4 linked regions of the Saccharomyces cerevisiae S288C genome follow. Changing the gene in region 4 together with the main gene of any one other region gives a genetic interaction. Each region holds a gene or a part of one and is shown on either strand. Other genes may lie near its edges. The genes, in order: BCK1, CHO2, SIS2 and PPZ1.

What was found.
Region 1: mutations in PPZ1 (region 4) and BCK1 together harm fitness more than expected from each alone (negative genetic interaction), as found in Saccharomyces cerevisiae (4 studies listed by BioGRID).
Region 2: mutations in PPZ1 (region 4) and CHO2 together harm fitness more than expected from each alone (negative genetic interaction), as found in Saccharomyces cerevisiae (4 studies listed by BioGRID, with this or other methods).
Region 3: of PPZ1 (region 4) and SIS2, extra expression of one rescues a mutant of the other (dosage rescue), as found in Saccharomyces cerevisiae (7 studies listed by BioGRID, with this or other methods).

The regions. Positions count from the first base shown.
Region 1 is NC_001142.9:245,660-252,228, reverse strand, and holds BCK1 (mitogen-activated protein kinase kinase kinase BCK1), read right to left. Parts: upstream 4,975-6,569; coding exon 538-4,974; downstream 1-537. Other genes in the region: KHA1 (Kha1p), read left to right, coding at 1-408; mitochondrial 54S ribosomal protein bL21m MRPL49, read right to left, coding at 5,254-5,739; enoyl-CoA hydratase PHS1, read right to left, coding at 5,985-6,569. UniProt on the Saccharomyces cerevisiae protein: Serine/threonine protein kinase involved in a signal transduction pathway that plays a role in yeast cell morphogenesis and cell growth. This pathway seems to start by SMP3; then involve the kinase PKC1 that may act on this kinase.
Region 2 is NC_001139.9:800,876-805,606, reverse strand, and holds CHO2 (phosphatidylethanolamine N-methyltransferase), read right to left. Parts: upstream 3,168-4,731; coding exon 558-3,167; downstream 1-557. Other genes in the region: exosome non-catalytic core subunit MTR3, read left to right, coding at 1-338; cleavage polyadenylation factor subunit PTI1, read right to left, coding at 3,784-4,731. UniProt on the Saccharomyces cerevisiae protein: Catalyzes the first step of the methylation pathway of phosphatidylcholine biosynthesis, the SAM-dependent methylation of phosphatidylethanolamine (PE) to phosphatidylmonomethylethanolamine (PMME). Preferentially converts di-C16:1 substrates.
Region 3 is NC_001143.9:575,892-579,651, reverse strand, and holds SIS2 (phosphopantothenoylcysteine decarboxylase complex subunit SIS2), read left to right. Parts: upstream 1-1,528; coding exon 1,529-3,217; downstream 3,218-3,760. Other genes in the region: AIM29 (Aim29p), read right to left, coding at 1-443; YKR073C (uncharacterized protein), read left to right, coding at 1,145-1,465; electron carrier DRE2, read left to right, coding at 3,672-3,760. UniProt on the Saccharomyces cerevisiae protein: Component of the phosphopantothenoylcysteine decarboxylase (PPCDC) involved in the coenzyme A synthesis. Acts as an inhibitory subunit of protein phosphatase PPZ1, which is involved in many cellular processes such as G1-S transition or salt tolerance.
Region 4 is NC_001145.3:238,921-243,116, forward strand, and holds PPZ1 (salt homeostasis regulator), read right to left. Parts: upstream 2,617-4,196; coding exon 538-2,616; downstream 1-537. Other genes in the region: TATA-binding protein-associated factor TAF11, read right to left, coding at 3,069-4,109. UniProt on the Saccharomyces cerevisiae protein: Essential for the maintenance of cell size and integrity in response to osmotic stress.

The sequences.
Region 1 (6,569 bases), on a different chromosome or scaffold from region 4:
CTTGGACTATATCTTCTCTTATTGATATGCTATAGAGATGGCTATAATAATGATAATGCATCCTGTAGTATATTTATTAACAGCAAGAATATTGATTTCGCAAAAGATTTGTCAACTGCATTTGCTGAGCATGACTGGCTAAACGAATCTACCATTAAAATTGTGGATATCCCCTTTGAAACGAAAGTTCCAGAAGAAGCAATTGAAAAGCCGTCCTTTATAGAGACTGTGCTTGATGTTGGTTTATCAGATACTGCTTTAGCTGATATAGAGGAGACTACCTTTATTATTGGAGAGGACCTTCCTGATGAAAGTGAGCCCTTCAGCGAAGAGGTGAGGACTGTAATATTTGAAGGGTCGAATCGTCGTTTTGACACCCTTATTGTGCACCATTTTTCGTCTGAATAAGTATCAGCAGAAATTTTTTAATTTTCTTTGTTCTTAATTTTCAGTCATTCCGTCATTCCGTCATCTATGTTTATTGTTCTATATTATTACGTATGCATAAATATCTTAAGTATAGATCGATCCTAATAGCTATTCAGTTTTATTCTCCTGAGAGGTTATCCTTAATTTTGAAGAGTTTAACTTATCATTTGACTTTATAAACTTCGCGAGTCTGGTAGATTTGAAATTGAATGTTTCATTTACTTCACTAAAAGGATGAGAAAGAAGCTCGTTAGCGGTTGGCCTTTTCTCTGGATTTATCTCGAAGCATGCGTCCAGAAAATTTCGTCCGATTTGCGATATCAATGGTAAAGTGTCCTCAGGAATTGGTGGTGCCGATTTTGACTTTCCAATTTTGAACATGGCTGCGACGACTTCTAAGTTGGACCACGGGCGCTTACCAGCAAACATTTCCAGAACGATGCATCCCAGAGACCATATATCAACTTTTGCACTGTAGCCTTGCTTTGTATCAACCATTTCAGGAGCCATCCAGAAGACTGTTCCTCGCATGGTCATATCCGAATTAGAGTATATGTCCTTTGATTTTCTTGAAATTCCGAAGTCACTGATTTTGCAGATACCATCTTGATCCAAAAGTAAGTTGTCTGCCTTCATATCCCTGTGGAGAATACCTTTCGAGTGTAGGTATGCCAATCCTTTTAATACTTGTGTTGTTAAATGTTTGATCAACGGTTCATCGAATCTTCCATACATTCTAATCAAGGATCCCACGGAGCCACCAGCAACATATTCTAAAAACAAACTGTAAATATTGTTTTTATTCTCAAAACCTAAGTATTGAACAATATTAAGATGATCTAAATCTTTTAACGTGGACACTTCAGATCTTAATGCTTCCACGGTACTTAGAATGGCTTCATTTTGTGAGCTATACTTGGGGACCTCAACCTGCTTAACGGCCATCATCTCACCTGTAGTAACGTTTAAACATAAATAAACAGCACCGAAAGATCCCTTCCCTATCATTTCACCCTTCATCCAGGCGAATTCCTTATACTCACCTTTCGAATTTTTGGCTTTATTAATTGACACCATATGGTTTTCGGTCACTTCGACCATTCTTGTACCCCACATTTTGGTGTTCTGTCTTTTTAGTTTTACAGAGTTTTTTCTTGCTAAACTAGCTTCATGTGCAATGGTTCTTATGGTTTTTGTTCTTTTAGGTGTCTTAGCTTGATTCAATGGTTTATTTTTACCGTTAAGTCCATCCTGTATGAACTCGTATGAGCTATCAGGAGGGACGGGACGGGAAGGAGTGCTTGGCTCAGTTCTCGATGAAGCCACATTCTTTGGTGAAAGTAGGCTGTCTAAGGATTTCGGAGATGTTGGTGAAGCTATTCCTTCAGTGATTGGCTTATCTAAGTTAGCCCTTGGGAAGAATTTCTCTAAATTTTGATAAACGACCTCCGGAGATGGTCTAAAGGTCATCTTTCTCTCCATTTTGTCCTGCGTTTGAGAATCATAGAATATTTCGTCAGAATGCGTAGAACTGTTATCGCTTTTCTCATCCTTTTTGTTTTCATTATTAGTCTCAGGAGCTGTTTTTTTCTTGGACCAGATAATGTCATCGGATGAACTAGAATCGTCATCACTATCATCGCTGTCAAACATCGGCGGAGCATCCGCGAATGTTATGTCATTCTCTTCAAATATATCGGCCGCAGATGTCGACGAAACAACTCTTTTTGAGTTACCTCTTTTTAACAATGGTGAAGGAGAATAGAAAATTGAATTTGAAGTCGATACAGTTGAATTTGAGCGATTCACTTTCTGTTTCATTTTCAAAGATGGGGAAGTACTCGTCGAGTCCTGGTCTGTTTTCAACCTACGCATAACATCGTTTGCACCCTTATAAGGTTGCGGTATCAAAACATGAGTCGAAGCAGGAGTATATGAGGAAGTAAGCGAATCAGGAGACGAGCTGCTAGCTTCTATAGGAGATGATAATAATTGTGGCGGCAATGGTTTCGATCTTTTGCTTCTCGAAATTTTTGTACTTGCCCTCACTAGGCGGATCGGTTTATTCTGTTTAGAAGTTGATAAGGTCCTCTGAGGAGAAGTATTTGCGGGAGGCTTGGGAGCTTCTCTTTTTGGTGCCAGTTCTGGTTTTGTATAAGGCGATTCCCTACGATGATTGAAATCAATTTCAGTCCCCTCATCTTTTCTTAGCACTTGAAAACTACTCTTGCTTTCATTTTCTGTTATGGGGGTAGGAATATTTAATTTACTTCCTTTATCTGGTAGGTTGAGTTCTAATTTTGGACTTGTTTTAAAAACCATTTTTGGTGCATTTTCCTCATGAGAAAGAACTTCTTTAATATTCCAATAATTCAATTCTTCAGTTGGATTAGTATTGGAAACTCTGTCATAGTAATAACTCGGGGTTTGGGGGTACCTGCGCCCACTTCCTGATGCATGTTCATCAAATGATGTTATGTCAGAAGACGAAGTGACAATGGAAACATCATCTGTCGATGCTATCAGACTGCTTGTTCCGGACCTCATTGAACTCTTACTTTTCACCGATTTTAAAGGAACATTGTTTTCTGAGGTGAGAGGAGCAGGTTTCGGTTTTTGTTGAAGCTTCATTTGGTCTTTGATATAAATTTTTCCAGAAGTGTTCAAAAACAAGCTTTTTTTCAAAAATTCCAAAGTATCATCTGGAATTGCAGCACCAATATCGCAATCAAAGTCTGTCATATGGAAAGTGACATTTTTGTGATTGATTCCCAATTTTGTGAGAGCAGATTCTTTGAAACTGGATAATTTTGCTACACTTTTTAAGTTTAGCGGAACAAAACTAACATTATCTTTGGTAACCAGAATATATTTATTCTCACTATCATTTAACCCTGTTTTCTTCAGAGGATAAAATTTTTGGTCCAGTAAAAAGTTCTTTACACTATACTTTTGATTATTTACCGGCACTGGAACTGTCTTGTCTGGATTAATACAATCAGGATACGTTTCTTTAAAAGACGCCGTGGTTGAAGAAATTTTAGGTGTATCTTCTGTGCTGATGACCTCCAAACTTCTGTTTGCAGTTTTGGGTATTGGCGGTGGTGATGAAGATGGAGATGGTATATTTACATCTGCCGTTTGTACGGTTAAGGTAGCAGTACTCGAATTCGATTTTAAGGATGGAGTTTCTTGAGACGTTACATAAGCTACCGTATTTGGGCTAGGAACCCCTATTTGGCTCTTTCTTTTGAATTTATTCCATAAATTACCTTTATCATCCGAAGTGGGTAGTGAAGATTGTTTTAAAGGTGAAGACACATTAGTTTCATAGTGTTTAGATTTTCCTTTAGCTAAATTTTCACTAGACAGACTATGACCTTGTGGATTAGGCTTTGTTGGAGCTTCCTCGCCTATTCCACTACCAAAAAGGGAATTTAATAATGACGACTCAGATGAACTACTTTTGTGATGTCTTCTAAATATGCTAGGATACGAAGGAGATGCAGGTGGGCTCGCCGATTTGGTAAGTGTACTGTTAGATTCAATAATTGAGTGCGGCCGAGCCGGTATACTTAACTTGATGTTTGAAGGTGATTTTGCTGAGGAAGCATTGCTCGATGATGAGCCTCTTAGGGATATAAAACTTCTTCTGTATAGTGAACTTGCGCTTTTGGTTTTTTGGTGTGTTGAAGTAGAATGTAAAAAATTCTTTTCATCGGTCTTGGAAGGGCCCGATTTTGTTGGGCTCAATGCAGATTCTGACGTTGATCTAGAATTTGAAATATCCTCTTGCGATTTACTATTTTTTAATTTTGATTTGATCGATTCGCTGGAAGACCTGGAACTTTTAAGTTTGCTAGCGCTCTTCTGACGAATATGGCTATTTGTTACGTTCTTGGTCATTGTTTTTTTCAATAACTGCTGAAACCTGGTATATGAAGCAGTTTTAGTCTGCGGCAAATACTTTTCATAAACAGCGAAATTATCATATGCAAGCAACTTTATAAATCTGTGACCAAACAATTGATGCTTTTTGAAAAACAATATCCAGGATTCTGGAAAATCATGAAATTTAAACCATGAGGTGACGCGATGCATTGTCCATTCATCAGGGTCTGTAGGATCCCACGATAGAATTAGCTTGTCAAAGGACAAACTATTTACGCTATTGCCACCGGAGGATTTCCTCGAATCAGAGAGGCTACTAGGTCCATTGTCATTTTTATAAGAACTGTTTGTAAAGCTCGTTGGGTTTTCAAGCGTTCCAGCTGAGATGTGGTCATCTGTCGTCCAATTAAAGGATTGTTCGATAACTGGCGTGCTTTCGTAAAACTGAGAAGAGGTAGAGTTGGGGGTTAGGTTGGGAAATTGGCTTCTAATATCATCATAAATGCTTTTGCGAGATGTTGCACGAGGGCTTTTGCTTGAACTTTTGGTTGATGCTACCGAACTAGTCGGCTGATGGCCGAATTTCACAGATGAGTTCGAATCAGACCTAGAATGTGTATGTGCTGTCCCCGCTATTTTCCTCAAAAAGGGCATTTGGAGGTGGAGTTGAACTATTTTAATACTATATTTAGTGTTTCGTACTAATGGTCACCCCTCTGCCCTTGTTTTTTTATTTTTTTTTTTGGTGAATCCATTACCTGATTTTATTATTATGCTTACTTTTAATTAACTTGTTGAAATTTCATAGCATTATAACTTAGAAGACGCGTCGGTCTGGAATTGAATGGCCATTGGGGCCGAAGAAAGTGTGTCAAATTTTATTGTTATTTACATGATTTTATACGTATGCGTATATGTACATATCCCTAAAATTCAGTTCATACTCAGTTCTGATATTCTTAAGATTGTCAAATCACCTTTACTCTTTGCATGACGGACCCGTCTATTTCTTCTCTTCGTTACCTCCCTAGTTTGGAAAGCCCTTTTAGTTTTCCCAACAACGGTTGCTTTTAAAGTATACAGAGAAGTATTGATTGGATGACCAACTAGCTTGTAGTTTCTAGATCCTAAAGTTGTTACATCGGTCATGTTTAAAATGTCACCCACCTCCGCTTGCTTCAATTTGAATGGAAGAATAACTCTGTCGCCCTCGGTCACCAAATATGGACGATTATGAATCTTGAATATTGCATATAGTTCATTTGATAATTTTAGTGGAGTTGTATCTGTCTTAGTAGTCTTAGCTTTTGTACTACTGATGCTTGAGGAAGTAGCTAAATTTCTGAATGGATGACTGGTAAATGGCCTATAAATAGGTGTGATTCTGGCCACTGGCCATATGAATTTCAGTTGTAGCATGAAAATTAGAGCAACACACTTAAGATTGTCTCGGCACAGTTGTTTCAGTAGGCTGTGAAGGTCGACTCCGAGTGAGCTTCGACATCTTTCTAAGAGTTCTCTAATTCGGCTACCCTTCGCAATTTTGCTCAATATAAAGCCCGTGCACCGCAAGATACTAGTGATTATGGTTAAGAGCGTTGAAGCCATTTCAATGTGAAGGCTAATATTCTTATAAAAAATACAGAAGAATTTATCTAAAGAATTCAAATTAGTTTCTTCCCGAAAGAGGATCTTAAACTTTTCATGACTTTCTTTCTCTGTGCTACCATGTGTAGGAAGAGCATTGGGAAGCCTGGGATATAAGCGAGCATGGCCGCTATTAAAATTCTTTTGTAAAGTAAAGAATACTGAGATTCAGCTGCATTTAAAGCACAGTAAATAATGCGTAGTTCGCTGGCAACACCAGTGGGGTACAAAATCCAGAACAAATTATATCTTAATAGAATTAAGATCTTTGGTGCGCCATTCTTGAATACCAACATGAAAAAATAATACAAGTATCTGACGATCTCAGTTATAGACCATGCCAGTAATAATGATATGTAAACAACTGATTGAACACCACTTGTGTTTGGCAACAATTGGAAGATGCCGAGGACAACTAGTAGTCTTGAAGACACTTGTGCAACAGTGGTCAGCAATGGGGAACGTACAACTCCTAAAAATGAGTTTATGATCTCGATTATAGCACCACATTGAACAAGGGTAGCGACATTTTTAGTTTGGTAGAAGAATGCTGGCTGTCCAACTTTTGGGTACAAGGAGATGACCAAGTAAAGCAAATAAGA
Region 2 (4,731 bases), on a different chromosome or scaffold from region 4:
TTTATTTAACGTATGATAAGGATCTTACAAATAATCCTCAGGACGACGATTCGCAAAGCAAAATGATGTCTTCTCAAATATCATCTCTCATACCACATTGTATCACTAGTATAACGCTAGCCTTAGCTGATGCCGGCATCGAATTAGTGGATATGGCAGGTGCCGGTGAGGCCAATGGCACTGTCGTATCATTCATCAAAAATGGAGAGGAAATTGTAGGTTTTTGGAAGGATGATGGTGACGATGAAGATCTTTTGGAATGCCTTGATCGTTGCAAGGAGCAATATAACCGTTATAGAGATTTAATGATAAGCTGTTTAATGAACCAGGAAACTTAGACACGAGATTATCCTAGTCGGAAAGAAAAGTGAAAGAGGTTAAGAAAAAATTCATGGTAAAAGAAGCGCACAAAGGCATTGTACATCAACATCATAATTTATAATGTCATTCTGCATATATGGTAGCTCCATTATATTACAACAACATAACTACTTCTATTCAAAATGTTAACTTGAATCCTAGTACTTTTTAAATATATATACTCAAAAAAAAAAAACTCAAGCAAGACTATCAAGCGTTTGTTTTATATCCCAAGCGCGATGCGAAATAACGTGAGCGTCACCATTGACTCTCCTCATATACTCAGACGAAAGTTCGACGCCAATTGAGTTCTTAATCAATTGTTTCAAGCTGTCCATCCCGAAGAACTTATTTCCTAATGGACGAAATTTACCATCCTTCAAAACGTTGACTTTCGTCAAAAACTCAGTCAAATCCTTCTCAAACAGTTCAGGTGTCGTGGTATTTAGTACCGGCAATGAAATTTCAAATGGTGTAGAAATCAATAACACCTTATGGGAGTTACCAGAATGATACCTAAATTCGTAGATACCATTTTCAAAATAAAGCAAAGACGTGTCGAATGTCACTTTACCTTGAACGTACTTTTCAGTCGCCTTTATTTCTGTTACAGATTCTTTATGTCTTAATCCATGGTTCATATATGAATCTTTAGAAGTCGCACTCCAATGACCACCTGATCCAACTCTTGTTTTTTCACGATCTGCCCTTGTATCAATGACTTTATACAAACCAATCCAATCATCTCCGTTATAAAGTTCAATGGGCATTTTCCAATTCAAAGTTACTGGAGTAGGCAAGACAAAATTGGTTTCTACCTGCTCGTTTTCAATTTTCAATTCACAGTATGGACTCAATCTTGTTGCAACGCTATCCATTGCTTCCTGAATTAAAATATTCCATTCTTTGTTATCTTGATAATTTTTGGGCAAAAGTTCTGCCCCACCATTGGAGTTCTTGCTTTCATCAACTAATGATTTGATTATAATATTTTCAATTCTATTGACAATATCTGAAACTTGTCTTAGAGGTTTCAAGCCTAGTAAAGTTTTTCCAACACCACTAACTCGTTTAGTTTTACCATATATCTTATTAACATGAGGTGTTTCAATAAACTTGACAAGAATAAAATTTGTCAATGTCCATAAAACAGCCAAGATAATATTTGTAACGGCAAAATTCGTCATCAATACAGTACCCCAAACTCCAACAACGCCTAATACCGCTTCTGGGTGATTCAAATATCTGTAGATACCTTGGGAAGTCAGCTTTCTAGTTGAGATATAGTTGCTCAAGAAAAAATCACCATAAAACCAACCAAAATCAGAGATTGCTAGTCTCGTTTCCTTATCACACCATGTTTGTAAAGCCACAAGAATTAAACCAAAAATTAATTGACTGTTGTTTATGTTGGAAAAATTACTCCAAATTTGAAGCCCTGTATGAATTATCATAAGTGTGTAGGTTAATACCAAATAATAATTGTAAATAAATTGCCATTGCTCATAGGAATAAACTTGTGTGTAACCATTCTCCAAAAACAATCTCGTGAACCATTTAGACTGAGATTGCTTGTACAATATTGTCGAGATAAATAACCATGAAACCAGTTTTGTTACAAAAACGGTAATAAAGAGGTAATTTAAATTGATAAACCTAGCATTCATGATTGTTCCTAACATAAGTGCCGCTACGGTACCAATTGTGAAATAGTCAGTAAATCTTAGCTTATTGAAGTTGTTAAAAGAAAGACCCATGTTAATTAGAGGTCTTGAATAATCGTAATTCTCTTTTGATATCAAGTCATCAATTCTGCTATTCATTTGAGAATCGGAATCAGTGCCATCACCATACGTTCTTTCAATATGAGGATTTTCGACGTATTTCAGAAACAAAAATTGAGAATAATGTCCAAATACGGACACCAGAAGAACCTTGTAGTCATTACAAATCAATGATAGGCCATAATAACCCAAATAACCAATAGAATACATTGGATGTGGAGAGATGTTGAAGACACCATCAAAAATCAATTCAGATTCTTCCAAAAAGAAGAAATCACCCCAGTACCAAGCATAATCTTTAACCACGCGATGCGCATCTAACTTGACCCAGATGTTAAATAAAATCAAAATAACACCTAGCAAAGATCTCCAGTTGAAGATTTGAACCCAGCTATATGGAATAGAAAGGTAAACGTAAATAATGTAAGTCACAAAATCTTGCATCAAGATTAAATCGACAAACTGGCGAAATATCAACCAGACGTTGATCTCTTCTGGATAGGCAAATAAATCATACTCCTTTGGCATTTTAGACCTAATCTCATATTGACAGAACTTCCTAATAAAATTCCAAAATTTTTCTGAAAAGGAATTGGAATTTGTTGAGAAATTCGAATTAGCATCTTTATTCTGTGGTATTTTGCTGAAAATCGCATGAGTTTTAGCACAATTCGTTAGTGTTTCATAATGTGACTGGTAATGCAGAACCAGTCCAATACCTAAATTATAAGCAATTCTCCAAAATAAATACTGTACCAGAAAAAAGTATTTGGTAAACTGTAAGCCAAACCTTTGGAAGACCCAATAACAAATGAAAAAATTCGATATAATAGCTAGCGCGATGCATTTTTCCAGCAGAGATTTCTTCAAAGTTGGATCGAAAAGCGAACGCACCATATCGTGGGTTACAGGTGGTTTGAAAGTTACATTACTCGAACGTGTTCTGGCTTCGACGTTGATAGTGCCCCTATCTTTTGTCACAGAACCAACCATTTCAGACAAAGTGGTTTTACAACTGGACATCTACAGATGAAGAAAAAGCTTTGTCACTAAGAAAATCACTCGAAATATTCAGGGCGGAATTTTTTTTTTCAAAATAGCCTTGATAGGTTACTTTTACCTTTCTTGTTAATGAAATCCTGGATTGTTAGGTTGAACTAACGTATAAAATTAGGGGATAAAATGAAGAAAAGAAGATAAACTAATCAAAGAGGCAAAAAAAAAGGTCCTTTGAATCAAACTCTACTATATTAGTTATATTTTGAAGATTTGGTGTGAACTCTTCACATGAGAAGGGAATAAAAGGGAACACAGTGGAAAGAATCTGTATTTTCATATGCCTACTTATAAATTCACATGTGTCGGAGATCCACGTTATCTAACATTTGAGGTTTTGCCGTTTCTGGCATCGCCGTTCATTTTCACAGTTTTGTGTGGAAAACTTCGCGAATAATGAATGCGGCATGAGAAAAGTGTGGCAATTGACTGTCTTGACCAATTTAAACCAAGGCAAAAATATATATTTAACAAGGCAAACATTTAATGTTGGAAGTTTAGTGCCGCTTTTAGTGATAAGAGGTACAGATGCAAGAACCATCTAATTAGGTGTGGTTTTCTGATACGCTATGGCTCTGATTACTTAGATTATATATTCTTTTCTAAAGTTTTCCACCATAAGTTGCTGGTCACTTGGTAAACTTTGGATCTGGGCAGGTGTCAAAGTAAGAACTTGTTTGATCATATCTTGTTGGTTTTCAGGTAGTAATTGCAGTTTCGCCATATTAATGGTGCCGCTGTCATTCGCTTTATTCGCGTTAGAGGGTCCTTCTGTAGAACTTATATTTTGTTGCTGGACCTGGCCGAGTTGATTTGCCAACACAGGCTGTCCCATGGAGGGGCCTTGAGCTGGAGGCATGAAAGGGCCCGGTGGCGCAAAACCGAACGGTTGTTGTTGCAGAGGTAAAGGGATAAATGGTGGTGTCGACATAGGCATTGGCATAGCTACGTTCAGTGGCATATTGTTAGGATTGTTGCTGACTTCATTAGAAGGTACATGCAACGGAGTGTTATTTCTAATTACGCTTACGGGGGTGTTCGAATTACTTGTGTTATTACTCGAAAGCAAAGATGGGGCCTCGCCAACTTGGGATTTCAACACTTTAGTCACCACGCTGTAGTCTATAAATCCCATTTCTAGTAGGGCTTGGGTCACTGATATTGTGATATCACTGTTAGTATCTAAGAAAGATTCTAATTGCGATTTTTGGATGTTTTCTTGGTTTGATAATATTTTCAAATTTGATATAATTTCAATAAGTTGCAACGGCGGAATTTTACTTAAATTTTGTGAAATTTTGTCTGGTGCAATAATCGAGCCATCTTGGAAACTTGGCAAGTGTTTAGATGCTTTACTTAGTATGTCGGGGAATTGAATGTTTGTGTTATTTGATACAGAGTTTGTGTTATTTGCAGCCTGTGGTGGCGGTGGTCGCCTAGGAATGGGGACTTCTGTCACCATTTCGAAAGGTAGCTCCAAACCCGCCTCGAAGGGGTACGAATCTCTATTAAGTTGTAATACCTGCTTTTG
Region 3 (3,760 bases), on a different chromosome or scaffold from region 4:
TTAAACCTTAGGTAATCCTCTTTGTTGAAAAGCGAAATTTCGGTTTCATTCTCAATGCCATACTCGAACAGCTTTTTTTTGTCATTCTCTATGTCTAAAGTCCAGTCGTCATCGTGGTCAAAATTGATCACGAGATTAACCGTCTTGGAACCATGTGCGTGCGTGTATATCTTTAAAGTATCAAACTTAACATTACGGAATGGTCTGAATGAACCTTCATTTTGAATTTTGTTCAAAACGTCATTGAACAGGTCCTTTGCAGTTTTATCAGCAAGATCGTAATCGTGCAGCACTATGTTCTTGACGTTTCTATATGGGAAAGATTTTATTACTCGGATTGTAATAACGGAGTTCTTTAGTGGTCTGGCATTTGAGGTTAATGGCTCTTCCAAGTCATAATCATGAAAGGTTGTTGACATTTTCAGCCTTTTAGTTGAATTCATGAAATAATGCAACCAAACAAGAAAAAATTTGGGGGAGGTAGTCTACGCATTTCAGTTCTAACTTCCTTCCTTTTCTTTCACTATTAATTGAAACTTATTTTCATTTTTTTTCTTTAGCATTGAACGCCGAATCTAAAAAAGTAAAGAACTCCTCATAGGGGGCTCGAACCCCTGACATTTCGGTATCCTTGCTTAAGCAAATGCGCTTAAAAGCCGAACGCTCTACCAACTGAGCTAACAAGGATGAGTTCTTCGGAGGGCTAACTCATATAAATAACTAATAAAGGCGAAATAGTGGTCACCACCATCACACTACACCCATATCAACGACAAGAGTTTAATTTGACCGTGGAAATTTATTACTGCTGATTTGGGTTCTATGATAAATCCTCGTAACGTAGAGACTATGTTTTTATATGCGCATTAAGTGCCGGAAAACGTGAGAAATAGGCTTTCCGGAGCATCAAACCTGAGGTTTCATAAATTGTGTTCGTGAAGGATGCATTCCAGAGGGCCATCCATCCAGCATAAAAAGAGATCTACAAAGCAATTATGTGGTTTCGCCATTATCCGTAGGATGACCTAAAAAATGGTAATGATTCACGTGATCTAGAAACTTTAACGTGTTATATCATTCAAGGCGTAACTTATACGCGCGGGGTACCCTATCATATCTAACACACGTACCCTGGGTTAATGCCATGATCGTCTTTGATGTATCTCTAATGATCATTATTATTTTTTCTTTTGCTTTTAACATGAGTCAAAGCAATATTCTTATGTTATATAACTCACCCCATGTGCTCGTGGGCAGTGACGCACGCAACTTTTTCTCTTGCAAAAAATGGCATCGATGCTTTTCTGGGGAGGTGATATTAGAGGAGAAGAAGTCACAGAGTGCTCTTGGATCACGATCCCTCACTTGTACTTGTCCACTTATCAGCGCCGTCCAGTTACATTTGGAGAGATCTTTTTTTAGCCTGGCCTTCTTTGCTGTCATACTACTTTATATTCCGGGATAAAATATAAAGAAATATTAGTTAGGAAAAAATTAATAGGGAAGAAAGATCTAGAAGCAAACAGCAATGACTGCCGTCGCCTCTACTAGCGGGAAGCAAGATGCTGACCATAACCAGTCTATAGAGTGTCCAAGGTTTTCGCGTGGACAGAAAGAGATTTTGTTGGACCATGAGGATGCGAAGGGGAAGGATTCAATAATCAACTCCCCCGTGTCAGGGAGGCAATCAATAAGCCCTACTTTGTCGAATGCTACTACCACGACTACGAAATCTATTATGAATGCCACCGGCACCTCCGGCGCAGTAGTAAGTAATACTCCGGAGCCTGGTTTGAAGAGAGTCCCCGCCGTCACTTTCAGTGATCTAAAGCAACAGCAAAAGCAGGATAGTCTGACTCAGCTGAAGAACGACTCAGAAAGGACCAAGTCTCCAAATAGTAATCCTGCTCCTGTCTCAAATTCCATTCCTGGCAATCATGCAGTTATACCGAACCACACCAACACTTCAAGAACAACGCAATTATCTGGGTCTCCACTCGTCAACGAAATGAAAGATTATGATCCTAAGAAAAAAGACAGTGCTCTTAAAATAGTTGATACCATGAAGCCTGACAAAATCATGGCCACTTCAACGCCAATAAGTAGAGAAAATAATAAGGTAACCGCCAAAGCCCCCACCAGTATTACACTTCGAAAGGAAGATGCACAAGATCAAGCTAACAATGTTTCAGGCCAAATTAATGTGCGTTCTACCCCGGAAGAAACGCCAGTGAAGCAGTCCGTCATTCCTTCCATCATCCCCAAAAGAGAGAACTCCAAGAATTTGGATCCCAGACTACCTCAAGATGATGGAAAATTGCACGTGTTGTTTGGCGCTACAGGTTCGTTATCGGTATTTAAGATCAAGCCAATGATTAAAAAACTAGAAGAAATATATGGACGTGATAGAATAAGCATTCAAGTTATCCTCACTCAATCAGCAACACAGTTTTTCGAACAAAGATATACCAAGAAAATTATCAAATCTTCAGAAAAACTAAATAAAATGTCGCAGTACGAATCCACTCCGGCAACTCCAGTGACACCAACACCAGGACAATGCAACATGGCTCAAGTAGTCGAGTTACCCCCACATATTCAACTATGGACCGACCAAGATGAATGGGACGCATGGAAACAACGAACTGATCCTGTACTTCATATAGAACTACGTCGCTGGGCGGATATACTGGTAGTAGCTCCATTAACTGCAAACACATTATCAAAAATTGCTTTGGGCCTGTGCGACAATCTTCTGACAAGTGTCATTAGAGCTTGGAATCCGAGTTATCCCATTCTTTTGGCACCTTCTATGGTGAGTAGCACTTTTAATTCTATGATGACAAAGAAGCAACTACAAACGATAAAGGAGGAAATGTCCTGGGTCACTGTTTTCAAGCCGTCTGAGAAAGTTATGGATATAAATGGTGATATTGGTCTCGGGGGTATGATGGACTGGAATGAGATTGTTAACAAAATCGTTATGAAATTGGGTGGGTACCCAAAAAATAACGAGGAAGAGGACGATGATGAGGATGAGGAAGAAGACGACGACGAAGAAGAAGATACAGAAGATAAGAACGAAAACAACAACGATGATGATGACGATGACGACGATGACGACGACGACGACGACGACGACGACGACGACGACGACGATGATGACGAGGACGAGGACGAAGCAGAAACCCCAGGTATAATAGATAAGCATCAATAAATAGTCTATGAATTACAAATACACTAAACACATTCTACTTATTTGTGTTTTGTAATTTCTGGAAAAATACTCATTAGGCAAATTCACGCAGCATATTTACAAAATGTCACAAATTTTTTTCCTTTTTTACTTGCAGTAGGTATGTAATGCCATACTAGCGTACATAGAGCTCTTCATATAAACCGCTATTTATTACTAATTTTAATAATTCAGTAATTCATTAAATACATTCATTACTTTCTGGGTAAATATCTATTCGTTTCTCATTTTTCTTTTTTTGACATATCCCGGTACCGGAATAAGTCCGATACTATTCAAAAGCTTCTGGAAAAAAAAAATAAAAAAAAGAAATGATTAGTAATCATTTAATTTCATGACATATTAAAAAGGTATTCTAAGCAGAAGTCTTTCATCACATTTGATCTAAGCATATACACTGTAAGTGAAGGTATCGATGTCACAATACAAAACTGGTTTACTTTTAATACATCCGGCGGTGACTACAACGCCAGAGCTAGTAGAGAACACTAAGGCTCAAGCTGC
Region 4 (4,196 bases):
TCCCCTTCAGTTGTTTTGAATTTTTTTTTTAAAAAAAATTCGTCTTTCTGATTAATCAATTTTGATTATATATTTTCTCTTGATTAGTTCACAATTTTTATAGGCCCTTATTTCTTAAAGAAGTTTTATGAAGTTTCGTAAGTATTGGGGGGGTTGAAAATAATCTCTCACGTTATACGCAATAAAAAATTAAAATTAAGGAGAACCAATCTATAGAAACGAACCATTGAATTTAGCTATATGACTATATACCATTACGTAATTTATATAAACAGCTTAATATAGCGAAAGCAAAGTAGAACGAAATTTCGGAGAGTTCTAGATTGTATAGAGCGAATGAGCATTCAATACACACGCGAAGGCAGTAGGCGATGAAAGGAAGTTTTTTAATGTCATTAAGAAAAAGATAGGGAACTTCTATTTCCTGTCTTTCATATATATATATATATATATATATATATATATGTGCATATGTACATCGTTGAGTTGTTCATGAAATAATGAATATAATACTTCTGGATTTTTTAGTCAGTAAATTTACTGTTGAGATTCGTTATCATTTGTGATGCTTGTTTCCATCATTTGCTGTTGTTGATTAGCCAGTTTTCTTTCCTGTCTACCTTTCTTCATAACTTGCTTCAAAGCTGCACTATCTAGTGGATCTAACAATTCAAAAGAGCACAATAAACCTTCGCTGACGCTCATTACAGCCCCCCAATTATCAAATTCACCACAATAATTTGGCGCGGAAAACACCGTAACGAGACTTCTATCATTGAAAAATTCATAACCGTCTTCCACAACCATGTGAGCTCTACAAACCAAATCAAACCCAAACTTGTTCAAGAATTTGTTAATTGCCACCTTATTATAACAGTAACTTACACCACGTTCGTTATCCTCCCATTCGTTGGGTGAATCTGTGGGATCGGACCACAAAAGATCATTAATTAAGCCAAAATCTGGTACATCAGTAGGCCTAACTACATGTCTGATTTCATCCATAGAATTTAAAACTGGCGACAATCCACCATGAACACAAAAAATCTTTCCGGCTACGATAGCAGCTAATGGTAATGTATTAAAAGTATCGATGAATGTCTTCCAGATCTTGATGTTACAACGACGTTTACATTCATCATAAAATCCATAAACCCTTGTGACGTTAGCACATTCATGGTTGCCTCTCAATAAAAAGAAATTTTCAGGGTATTTTATTTTGTAACAAAACAATAGTAAAATAGTCTCCAGTGACTGTTTACCACGGTCCACATAATCACCTAGGAATAAATAGTTCGAGGATGGTGGGAACCCACATTTGGTAAAAAGCCTTAAGAGATCCCCATATTGGCCATGAACGTCGCCTACAATTTTTACAGGAGGTGATAATTCTAATAAGGAAGGTTGAGAAAGAAAGATTTCACGAGCCTTGATGCAAATCTGTAAAATTTCATTGTTCTTCAAACAAACATTTTTTGTTCTCTTAGCAGCGTAGCCCGCATCCAGTAATTTTTGGATAGTTTCATCAATATCGATAGGCTTTTTGAATTTTTTTGGAGCGTTTTTGTTTCCGGAAGATTGCATTATATCATTAAATTCCTCATTCGGATCTTTTTTGCTATCTGTTATATTATTATTTTTATCATTAACATTTTCCATTGATGCATGGATATTACTCAATTGAGATGAATTTTCAATGTCATCATCATTGCTGATGTGTTTGCTCGGGTAAATATCGCGACTTGAATGGTGATTCAATGAGGAGGTTGAATTAGAGGTAAAGTATTCACCAGAGTGATCTGTTAGCTTGGACAAGCCTGGAGAGTTTAATGGGGTGCTGTATGCGGTATTACCATCTGATCCAAACGAAGATTTCCTACTGTGTAGCGAAGATGCATGAGAATTTGACCGGGTTAATGCCTGAACGAGATAATTCTCCTGATTGTTAGAGGAGTATGATCCATTGTTAGGCTCTTCATGGGTCACATCTGATTTCCTTCTTGACACTGATCCGCTTCTTATACTGGACGGACGAGAATTCGAAGATCTAGAAAACCTTTTAGTGTGCGAGATGTCGTTGTCTTTATCATCATTGTCATCATCGGTTAAGGCGTTCTCATAATAGGTAGATGAGTATGAAGATTTATGCTTGGATACGTGTGTGCTACTATTGTTTGTTTTTAAAATGGGTGACTTGGGTTCCATTTGGATCATTGAAGGTGGTAAATCAGCAGCAGCCTTAGTATTATAACTTGATCTTCTAGAAGTAGAAGGCCTCTTAGTAGAGGATGATGAAGGAGTAGTTAACAATTCGTTTTGAGAATTTGAATGCGAGTGTGAGCTAGATGGGAAATGGTAACGATTCGTGTGAGAGCTATGTCGTTGGTGATTAACCTCAAGATTGGGCTTTGATGGAGTGGAGGGATCAGGGACGTTTGAATTAGTATTCGTAGTGGACGAAGAAGGAAGAGATCGCCTTGATCTTGAAGATTTATTTGATTTTGCAGACTTCACAGAATGGGAAGTCTCGGTTCTCGACACTTGAGGACGAGGATTTCTCGAGGAGGAATTCGAATGTGAATCCTTTTTCGAAGATTTTGAACTTGAATTACCCATTTTGAAAAGGAAGGAAAGATAAGCAGAGAGTGGTTGATTTGTTGTTTTATGACAAAGCCTCTAGGGGAAAAGAAGCGACTATAACGATGAAATAAAAATAAAACGATAAAGAAAAGTATAATCAAATGTATTCCAAAGAAGTACTTTTATATATAATCTTTATATTTAACTTGAAAGAAAAAGATTTAACATGTATTGCCAAAACAAACAAAACTAATAATGGAAGCTATTGTATTGTGCTTTTATGTTACCCACCTGCCAATGGTTCACAAGAGAAAGCTGATTAACAGAATTAGAAGATCTGCAGTAATCGTTTTCTTTTTTTTTTTTTCATTAATTTATATGCTATCCTTTTAAAAATAGACATGTCATTTCAAACGACATGTTAAAAATTATATATATGTTTATATATAGATTGATATATGTTGGAGCCGTTGGACAATTATGGGCAGCTATCTGAACATGGATCCCTGCCCTTCTCCTTGAGTTCTCCAGTAAGCGTTAGGCAAAGTGTCCGACTGCAGACGGTAGAGTCTCCACGCCTCACGGATGTGTTCGGGCAATAAGGGACTGTTGTTATATTTCTCGATGCTTACATCTAGTTTGTTGAATTGGAGGACGAGCTTATTGTACTGCTCGATGAGTTGTAGCTTCAAGTCCTGTGAATTATGGTCTGATTGCTGTAAGGATTTGGACTGTAGCAACGAGTTGCCCAGCGTAGTTTCGCGCTTGTCTACTTCTTCATCGTCGAAGTAGAAATCAGGTTCGTCTTCGGGAACGCTATCGGATTGATAATCTTGCTTGTATTGCTGGTTTTCTATGATGGAGAAAGTCAATTTTTTTAGATATTTTTTCAATTTATAGCCTATTTTGGTCCTCTTATCAAACTCTATGCACATTTGACTTGTCAACCACTTATTCTTCACAATCATGGCCAATTCGATTATCTCACCAGCGTATATTTTTCCCACCGCTTGCAGAAAAACACGAATATTTTCACTTATAGTTTGATTAGCTACTGTGCTAGCCAGTTTTTTGACCTGGGTTTTGTTTAGGGATGTTCTATGGAAAACTTCAAACCGATTAGTTTGATCTTTATCCAAGTTGGTTACCAAGAGCTTGAATTGTTCGTCCTGCGCAAGTTTTTCATTTTCATCTTCGTTGGTATTGGTGTCTTCGTAATTGCTATTTTGTGTTTGCTGTTGTAAAATGTCTTGTGGAAAGATCAGGTTTTCTGGGACTTTGTTGATAGAGTCCGGGTCTTGCTGATTTATCCTGGTTTTCTGGTATTTGTATTTTGGATATTTATTTAATTGGTTGTTGATTGATGTACCACCCGTTCGCAGGTTTTGCAATTTCCACGTAACGTAGTCCTGGTCCTCACTGATGACTTGGTCAATCATTTGTTTTGTGGAAAAATAGTTTGCTATTGTCAGTATTGGCGGATAGTTCACTTTCGGGATGGTGTCCAAAGGACCTTGAGGTTCGGTCATCGTTGCGCTGTTGAAGCTCAAACTTACTTTGTGCTCTTCATTTATATGGATAATTATCTCTATATACCTCTTCTTGATTTTTCAATT